Linked DNA regions of Xenopus tropicalis. The protein of the gene in region 1 purifies or fractionates together with the protein of each later gene. This does not show direct contact. Links are inferred from orthologs where the notes say so. Each region holds a gene or a part of one and is shown in the gene's direction. Other genes may lie near its edges.

Region 1 (3,947 bases):
TGACTTAGATCGCTTACCTTCTACCCCGGGCTGGTGCCCCTGTATGGAGAAAACAGCACCAGCCCGGGGTAGCAGCGAGCGATTCCTCCCTCGCTGCGCAGTAGAGTGAAAAGCCGAACTTTAACAGAGAAGTCGGCTTTTTCACTCTACTGCGCAAGCGCCGGACTCTGAGTCCAGGGGAAAGGGAGGCGGAAGGGGGAAGTGCATTGCCCCAGGTGCCCTGGGCTGGTGCAGTTTTCTCCTAACAGGGGCACCAGCCAGGGGTACGAGGTAAGCGATTCAAGCCACTTGGGGGTGCCTAACATTTTAGCACCCCCAAGTGACTTAGCCTTTCCTTCCCCTTTAAAGAGCTGTGTTCTGGCCATTATATCAGACATCTGCCCACTCCAGTATGTATAGATTACATTTTGCCTAACTATATTGCAAACATTTTTTATTTTGGGCAGTCTCTTTTACCCAGTTCCACTTTTACACAGAACCGCTGCTCACTATGCGAATGTGTCCCCCAACACTAAACTATTCAACTCCTAAAATTATCAGAGGCAGATATTTTGCACCCCTGGTACCATGAAAAACACCTTTACAAAACGCATTATAATATTAGACAGCTTTATATTATAAGGAAATCGAGCTATATTTATGCATCTATGTCAAGTTGCATGTACACGTACCGCAACTATACGTTTCCAGTTTTATAGCAATGGGGTGTCAAACACGAACACATCTGCCTTTCCGCTGTCACTTTCACTATACTCTACTCCACCCGTTTCTACCCACAACAACCCAAATAAAGATCATTGAGAAAAAAAAAAAACGAAAAAAAACTTTTTCTGCAGGTGGGGGCTTCCTTGCGCATGCGCGCATCCCTCCGCCTCTCAGTCTGACGTTGCGTGTCTCCGTGCACGCTTCTGTAGTTTACGGGCGCGGGCACGCTCTGTCGCTGTGCAGGTTATGCCTTGTGTCGCGCATGTACATTTCAGTCTGCCATTCGTTGTCTCTGTGCGTTTTATCAGCTCCACCCCCTCTCGGCGCGCTCCCGCAAGTACGGGGGTGAAATTGAATGAGGAGGAGGAAAGCTACAACGACATAGTCGCGTTTCGGCCTCCTCCTTTTGACAGGCAATACCTTAACATAAGCCTTATTAATACGTGAATATTTCCGTCCGGTCATCACCGGCCGTAGCCTCGCACGAAGTTGGGGGGTGGGAGGCGTAGGCCGTGCTAGTGAATGTGTGACAGGAGAGGGGGCAGAGAGGAGGGGTAGCAGACCGATCGGCACAGTGCGGAATTTCGTGTATGTTTGTAGCGTGTGTTACCGTGGAATAGTGTGGTTGTCTGGAAGTTTCTGGCATGGAGGACAAGACGTTTACTAAAGAACTGGACCAGTGGATCGAGCAGCTCAATGACTGCAAGCAACTCAACGAGAGCCAAGTGCGCACCCTGTGCGAGAAGGTGAGACCGGCCCTGTGCAGCAACGTCTGTAAACACTCAGCCCCACATACATAGGTGTATAGCACTCCCAGCATGATACCGTCATGATCTCGTAGGGGGAATACATGCTACGCACAGAAACATACACACGCCTGTAAGGGGCCTCGCTTGTTCATACAGGCACGTCCACACAGCAAATAAACATACATCAGGGGATTTACTGTGTAGGATTCTGATCTTGAAAATTGTATTTAGTTCCCTTTTGATTGGCAGCTGTTGGTTCCAGTTTCTAAGACCCCCTGCTTATTTGAATGTATTAGTGTATGTATTTATATCTTTATTTAGCAAGCACTACTTATGTGCGCAGCGCTGTACAGTAGAATACATTAATACAAACAGGGGGTTATTAAGATAATAATAGATAAGTTTAAAGTATAACAATAAATACAAGATACAATTGCAATAAGTTAAGGGTCAAAGAGACAAAAGGATGGAGGTCTCTGCCCCGTAGAGCTTACAATAGTGGCATTAGTATTCATTTATTTTCAGAATACAATTTGACATGTGGAATTATCTTAAAATGTTCCTTTAACATATATGTGTATTGTAGCTAATTACTATTCAGAGTGAGATTTTATAATTTGATGGGTGCCTTGAACACAGCCAGTGTTCCTTTCTCAGGGATTTATTTTCTAAATTAAACGGGCAACAATGTACCCCTATCATCTTTGCTAATAATCATAGGGTTGGCAGAGTGCATTGATGTGACTTTATGATGTAATAACAGGCACAAAGTTTGCTAAAGCATCTTTAAATCCATAACATTTAATCAACTGTTTGCTCTCAAACAGCAGATTACAAAATACAAACAGATGGATTGCAAAAACTGGAGGAAACTTTTCACCTGTAATGCAAGTGTTTCCTTGTAGGGAAAATCACTACAGTTAAGTGATTCTTGCAGCTAAATGCTGTTTAAGGACTACAGCACACAGAGCTACTTGTAGCGGCTACAAAGCCCCAGAAAATACTTTGCCATAGACAGTACTGAGAACCATCTTTGCTAAAACACACGTAGAGACAATTATCAGTACTATTTTGTAGCTGGTGCAATTAGCTCCATGTGTCATTGCACTAAAGGTACAAATATAAAGTTAATTTTTGATGAGTACCTTTCTTTAATCCTTTGAGAGCTTGATACTTATGATGTAGCCAGACTGTTTTCAGTAAACACGTGTCACCTCTCTTAATACTGTTGAATACTTGTGGTGACAGGTGGACCTATGCGCAAAGCTTTTGCTTGAGTGTATTGGGCCAGTGTGTCTCTGTTACCTCTTCATGTCCATCTGATATGGCACTTTATGTTCAGTAGTAACATTATGGGTGATAGGACTATGGCCTTTTCTTTACGCGTTGTGTGCCATTAATCTAAGCATATTTTCATTTACCTATCTTTTTTTTTTTAAATAGCTTTTGATTTATCAGAATCCTTATTTTATTCCCCCAGCCTTCAACTGAAAATACTGTTTGGTTGTCAGGGTTTCCTGATCCTGACAACCATTAAACTGATTGACTGACTGTAAGTCCTCAGATGTGTTGCTGTTTTTATTTTCATTGCACATCATTCTAATGGGACACTTTACTGTTCATCTTCATTTTGAGTTTCTCTTTTGTGTCTGGTTGTTAGGCCAATTAAGTCCTACCATCCTCATATCAGTTGAAATTCCAAGCTGCCAAGAAAAAAAAAAGAAGGCTGATTAATAATTGTTATAGAATGCTACCATCTATACCATATGTGGAACTAATTTTAGGATGAACTACTCCTTTAAGTTTGGGTTCTTTAATGGTGCTGTGCTACAGTTAACAGCATCGTTCAACATAAAATCAAGCATCCAGACATAATGGGAAATGAAATGTGTGTCCATCTAAGGAAATAGGACTATAGTACTTCACAACATACAATAATAACTATATCTAACTGTATATATAACTAGGCTAAATGTAAAATAAACCAAACAGTAAAACTTTGAAGGGTAAGGTCAGCTAAAAGAAGCCATACATCCTCCACTGTAAATTAAATTTACAGTGGCCTTTCACTTTAGTAATAAATAGCGCATGACTTTTGAGCACCTTTTAATCCATTTCACCCTAACTTTTCTGTTTGTTAACTCTCAATTTCCTTTGCTGAAGAAGGTAATATTTTATTTATTTTACTCCCCCTTTTAAAGAAGAAAATAAATAAAGCCCTAACTCATTACAGCTAGAAATACTTTATTTTATAAACCAATCATACAGTAGAAGCCCTACAATAGTAATGACCCATTCTTTCAAAGTTGTCCACAGCAGCTCATAAATTTTGATCACTAGACCACTTTGTGCTTGCCAGTGACTCGCCACAGGCTAATTTTTCATGTCATTAAAATTATTGAACAGAAAGTGATATTACATTTATTATAGAAGCTGAAGCTACTGGGATGATCATTTGCGATCCAAAATGCACTGGTTAGTGTGAGGTGATGT
Region 2 (4,231 bases), on another chromosome or scaffold:
GCTGGCTGTCTCTCAGTGCCAGTCTCACTGTATTGCTGCCTGTCTCTCAGTGCCAGTCTCACTGTATTGCTGCCTGTCTCTCAGTGCCAGTCTCACTGTATTGCTGCCTGTCTCTCAGTGCCAGTCTCACTGTATTGCTGGCTGTCTCTCAGTGCCAGTCTCACTGTATTGCTGCCTGTCTCTCAGTGCCAGTCTCACTGTATTGCTGCCTGTGTCTCAGTGCCAGTCTCACTGTATTGCTGCCTGTCTCTCAGTGCCAGTCTCACTGTATTGCTGCCTGTCTCTCAGTGCCAGTCTCACTGTATTGCTGCCTGTCTCTCAGTGCCAGTCTCACTGTATTGCTGCCTGTCTCACTGTATTGCTGCCCGTCTCTCAGTGCCAGTCTCACTGTATTGCTGCCTGTCTCTCAGTGCCAGTCTCACTGTATTGCTGGCTGTCTCTCAGTGCCAGTCTCACTGTATTGCTGCCTGTCTCTCAGTGCCAGTCTCACTGTATTGCTGCCTGTCTCTCAGTGCCAGTCTCACTGTATTGCTGCCTGTCTCTCAGTGCCAGTCTCACTGTATTGCTGGCTGTCTCTCAGTGCCAGTCTCACTGTATTGCTGCCTGTCTCTCAGTGCCAGTCTCACTGTATTGCTGCCTGTGTCTCAGTGCCAGTCTCACTGTATTGCTGCCTGTCTCTCAGTGCCAGTCTCACTGTATTGCTGCCTGTCTCTCAGTGCCAGTCTCACTGTATTGCTGGCTGTCTCTCAGTGCCAGTCTCACTGTATTGCTGCCTGTCTCTCAGTGCCAGTCTCACTGTATTGCTGCCTGTCTCTCAGTGCCAGTCTCACTGTATTGCTGCCTGTCTCTCAGTGCCTGTCTCTCAGTACTCGCTTTCTTTCTAGCCCTCACATTTGAGCCTAGATGCCACAGAAACAAATGATGCTGATGAGAGTAAGGGGCCCCAGGCTGCACATCCCTGATATATATATATAACCCACCATGTAACTGTGGCTCAGAGAAAATGCTCCCTCTTCTCTACACTAAACCTGCCCCTAGGATTAGCACGTATGTGTGTATGGAAACATCGGTGTGTCCCACTGTGTGTGCCTCTACCCCTCATTCCCAATTGATAAAAATACCTCGTTCACTAACAGCCCCCTCCGGAGCCGCCATTGCGCACAAGCCCAGCGCAGCAGCACTGTCCCTATAAATATCCCTGCCGATATATAAATACACCTATGCATATACACTCAGGCTCCGCCGACCAATCGAATGGAGCCAGGCAAAAAACACCACGCCCACTATTGGTGCCGGTCAGGAGGGGAGGGGCGGCCGCATCGCTCACTCTCACTCTTTTGCCTCAGTGCCGCGCCCGGCGCCAGAAGGGTTAAATGACGTCACCGAATCATGTCGACGGGCCATGGGCGCCATTTTGAAACCCCGTCCCGGAGAAGCCGAGAGTGGCGGCTACTGAGCGCTGCGTCCCCTTTCCCGAAGCGCTTCCCGTTTCTCTCCTTCCTTCCTTCCCCCAGTCCCCTCCCTCCCACACAGGCAGGGACTTCCACACGCACCTATCCGAGCAGCCGCGCCACCGGGGGGAGGGAGGGCAGCGAGAGTCTGAAGGGCGGAAACCCCCTCCCGGGTTCGGGAAAGGCCTGGTCCTAGAGGGCAGCCATGGCAGGTAAATACCATTGAGAGAGGAGGGGCGGGCTCAGTTTGGGCAGGCCACCTCCGGGGCCCATGGGCATCCTTGCTGCTGGCGGAGGGATACTGGGAGTCGTGGGTTAGCATGGCTCTCCCAGCATTCCCTCTTGCTGCAATTCATTACGGCCTAACTCTTCTTCCTTGGCTGCTGATACAGTGTGTTACCTGTCAGGGCATGATGGGAGTTGTAGTGAAACCGCAGCTCCCAGAATGCTTTGCAGGACTGTATTGCTTATAATGCGCTGAAAGCTTTGCAGCTCCGTGTTGTGTTACATTGGGGATGGTGTATACAGGGCATGTACTGGGGGTGTGGGGCTGGGCTCCTGGGGCTCATATATATATATAAATGGGCAGTGGGGTAACTGTTAGAGCTATGTAAGGGTATCACTGGGGCTAATATATATATAAATGGGCAGTGGGGTAACTGTTAGAGCTATGTAAGGGTATCACTGGGGCTAATATATATATATATATATATGGGCAGTGGGGTAACTGTTAGAGCTATGTAAGGGTATCACTGGGGCTAATATATATATAAATGGGCAGTGGGGTAACTGTTAGAGCTATGTAAGGGTATCACTGGGGCTAATATATATATATATATAAATGGGCAGTGGGGTAACTGTTAGAGCTATGTAAGGGTATCACTGGGGCTAATATATATATAAATGGGCAGTGGGGTAACTGTTAGAGCTATGTAAGGGTATCACTGGGGCTAATATATATATAAATGGGCAGTGGGGTAACTGTTAGAGCTATGTAAGGGTATCACTGGGGCTAATATATATAAATGGGCAGTGGGGTAACTGTTAGAGCTATGTAAGGGTATCACTGGGGCTAATATATATATAAATGGGCAGTGGGGTAACTGTTAGAGCTATGTAAGGGTATCACTGGGGCTAATATATATATAAATGGGCAGTGGGGTAACTGTTAGAGCTATGTAAGGGTATCACTGGGGCTAATATATATAAATGGGCAGTGGGGTAACTGTTAGAGCTATGTAAGGGTATCACTGGGGCTAATATATATATATAAATGGGCAGTGGGGTAACTGTTAGAGCTATGTAAGGGTATCACTGGGGCTCATATATATATATAAATGGGCAGTGGGGTAACTGTTAGAGCTATGTAAATGTATCACTGGGGCTAATATATATATATATATATATATGGGCAGTGGGGTAACTGTTAGAGCTATGTAAGGGTATCACTGGGGCTAATATATATATATATATAAATGGGCAGTGGGGCAACTGTTAGAGCTATGTAAGGGTATCACTGGGGCTCATATATATATATATGGGCAGTGGGGTAACTGTTAGAGCTATGTAAGGGTATCACTGGGGCTCATATATATATATATGGGCAGTGGGGTAACTGTTAGAGCTATGTAAGGGTATCACTGGGGCTCATATATATATATATATATATAAATGGGCAGTGGGGTAACTGTTAGAGCTATGTAAGGGTATCACTGGGGCTAATATATATATATATATATATAAATGGGCAGTGGGGTAACTGTTAGAGCTATGTAAGGGTATCACTGGGGCTAATATATATATATATATGGGCAGTGGGGTAACTGTTAGAGCTATGTAAGGGTATCACTGGGGCTAATATATATATAAATGGGCAGTGGGGTAGCTTTTAGAGCTATGTAAGGGTATCACTGGGTTATGTGGTAGGACCCCTTCATTTTTATTTACTTTGGCCCTGGTTTTTACAACTTTTTTCTTTTAATAAGTAGTAAGTTGGGGTCCCCTGAGTGCTGCATATAATATACTTCTAACATGCAGTATAATGTTCCTGTGGATCTGCCATAGGCTATACACCCCCTAATCTGCAGCCATTTATGCCCTACACAGTGCTTTGTAATGATAAGGGGTTAAAGGGGCACATTGGGTGGCAGCTGTCACACACCTGAATCATTACAATTACCTCTACCAGGGTCCATGGCCATCAAGCAGATCAACTTCTGGGGGGTGGGGCACAGGTTAGCCGCTGGGGATGCCTAGTTAGGGGCACAGGTTAGCCGCTGGGGATGCCTAGTTAGGGGCACAGGTTAGCCGCTGGGGATGCCTAGTTAGGGGGAACAGGTTAGCCCCTGGGGATGCCTTGTTAGGGGCACAGGTTAGCCGCTGGGGATGCCTAGTTAGGGGCACAGGTTAGCCGCTGGGGATGCCTAGTTAGGGGCACAAGTTAGCCGCTGGGGATGCCTAGTTAGGGGCACAGGTTAGCCCCTGGGGATGCCTAGTTAGGGGCACAGGTTAGCCGCTGGGGATGCCTAGTTAGGGGCACAGGTTAGCCCCTGGGGATGCCTAGTTAGGGGCACAGGTTAGCCGCTGGGGATGCCTAGTTAGGGGCACAGGTTAGCCGCTGGGGATGCCTAGTTAGGGGCACAGGTTAGCCGCTGGGGATGCCTAGTTAGGGGCACAGGTTAGCCGCTGGGGATGCCTAGTTAGGGGCACAGGTTAGCCGCTAGGGATGCCAATTTTGGTTGAATGGAGCAGTAGGAAGCAAAGGGTCATTTCTCACTCTG

What was found. The genes of interacting proteins can lie anywhere in the genome.
Region 2: the proteins of ppp2cb (region 1) and ppp2r2d purify together in Homo sapiens (affinity purification with mass spectrometry; 6 studies listed by BioGRID and IntAct, counting the BioPlex papers as one, with this or other methods). This does not show direct contact. The link is inferred for Xenopus tropicalis from reciprocal best matches to the Homo sapiens genes PPP2CB and PPP2R2D.

The regions. Positions count from the first base shown.
Region 1 is NC_030677.2:97,482,269-97,486,215, reverse strand, and holds the start of ppp2cb (serine/threonine-protein phosphatase 2A catalytic subunit beta isoform), read left to right. Parts: upstream 1-1,142; 5' UTR 1,143-1,349; coding exon 1,350-1,451; intron 1,452-3,947.
Region 2 is NC_030683.2:21,335,412-21,339,642, reverse strand, and holds the start of ppp2r2d (serine/threonine-protein phosphatase 2A 55 kDa regulatory subunit B delta isoform), read left to right. Parts: upstream 1-1,428; 5' UTR 1,429-1,656; coding exon 1,657-1,663; intron 1,664-4,231. UniProt on the Homo sapiens protein: Substrate-recognition subunit of protein phosphatase 2A (PP2A) that plays a key role in cell cycle by controlling mitosis entry and exit. Involved in chromosome clustering during late mitosis by mediating dephosphorylation of MKI67.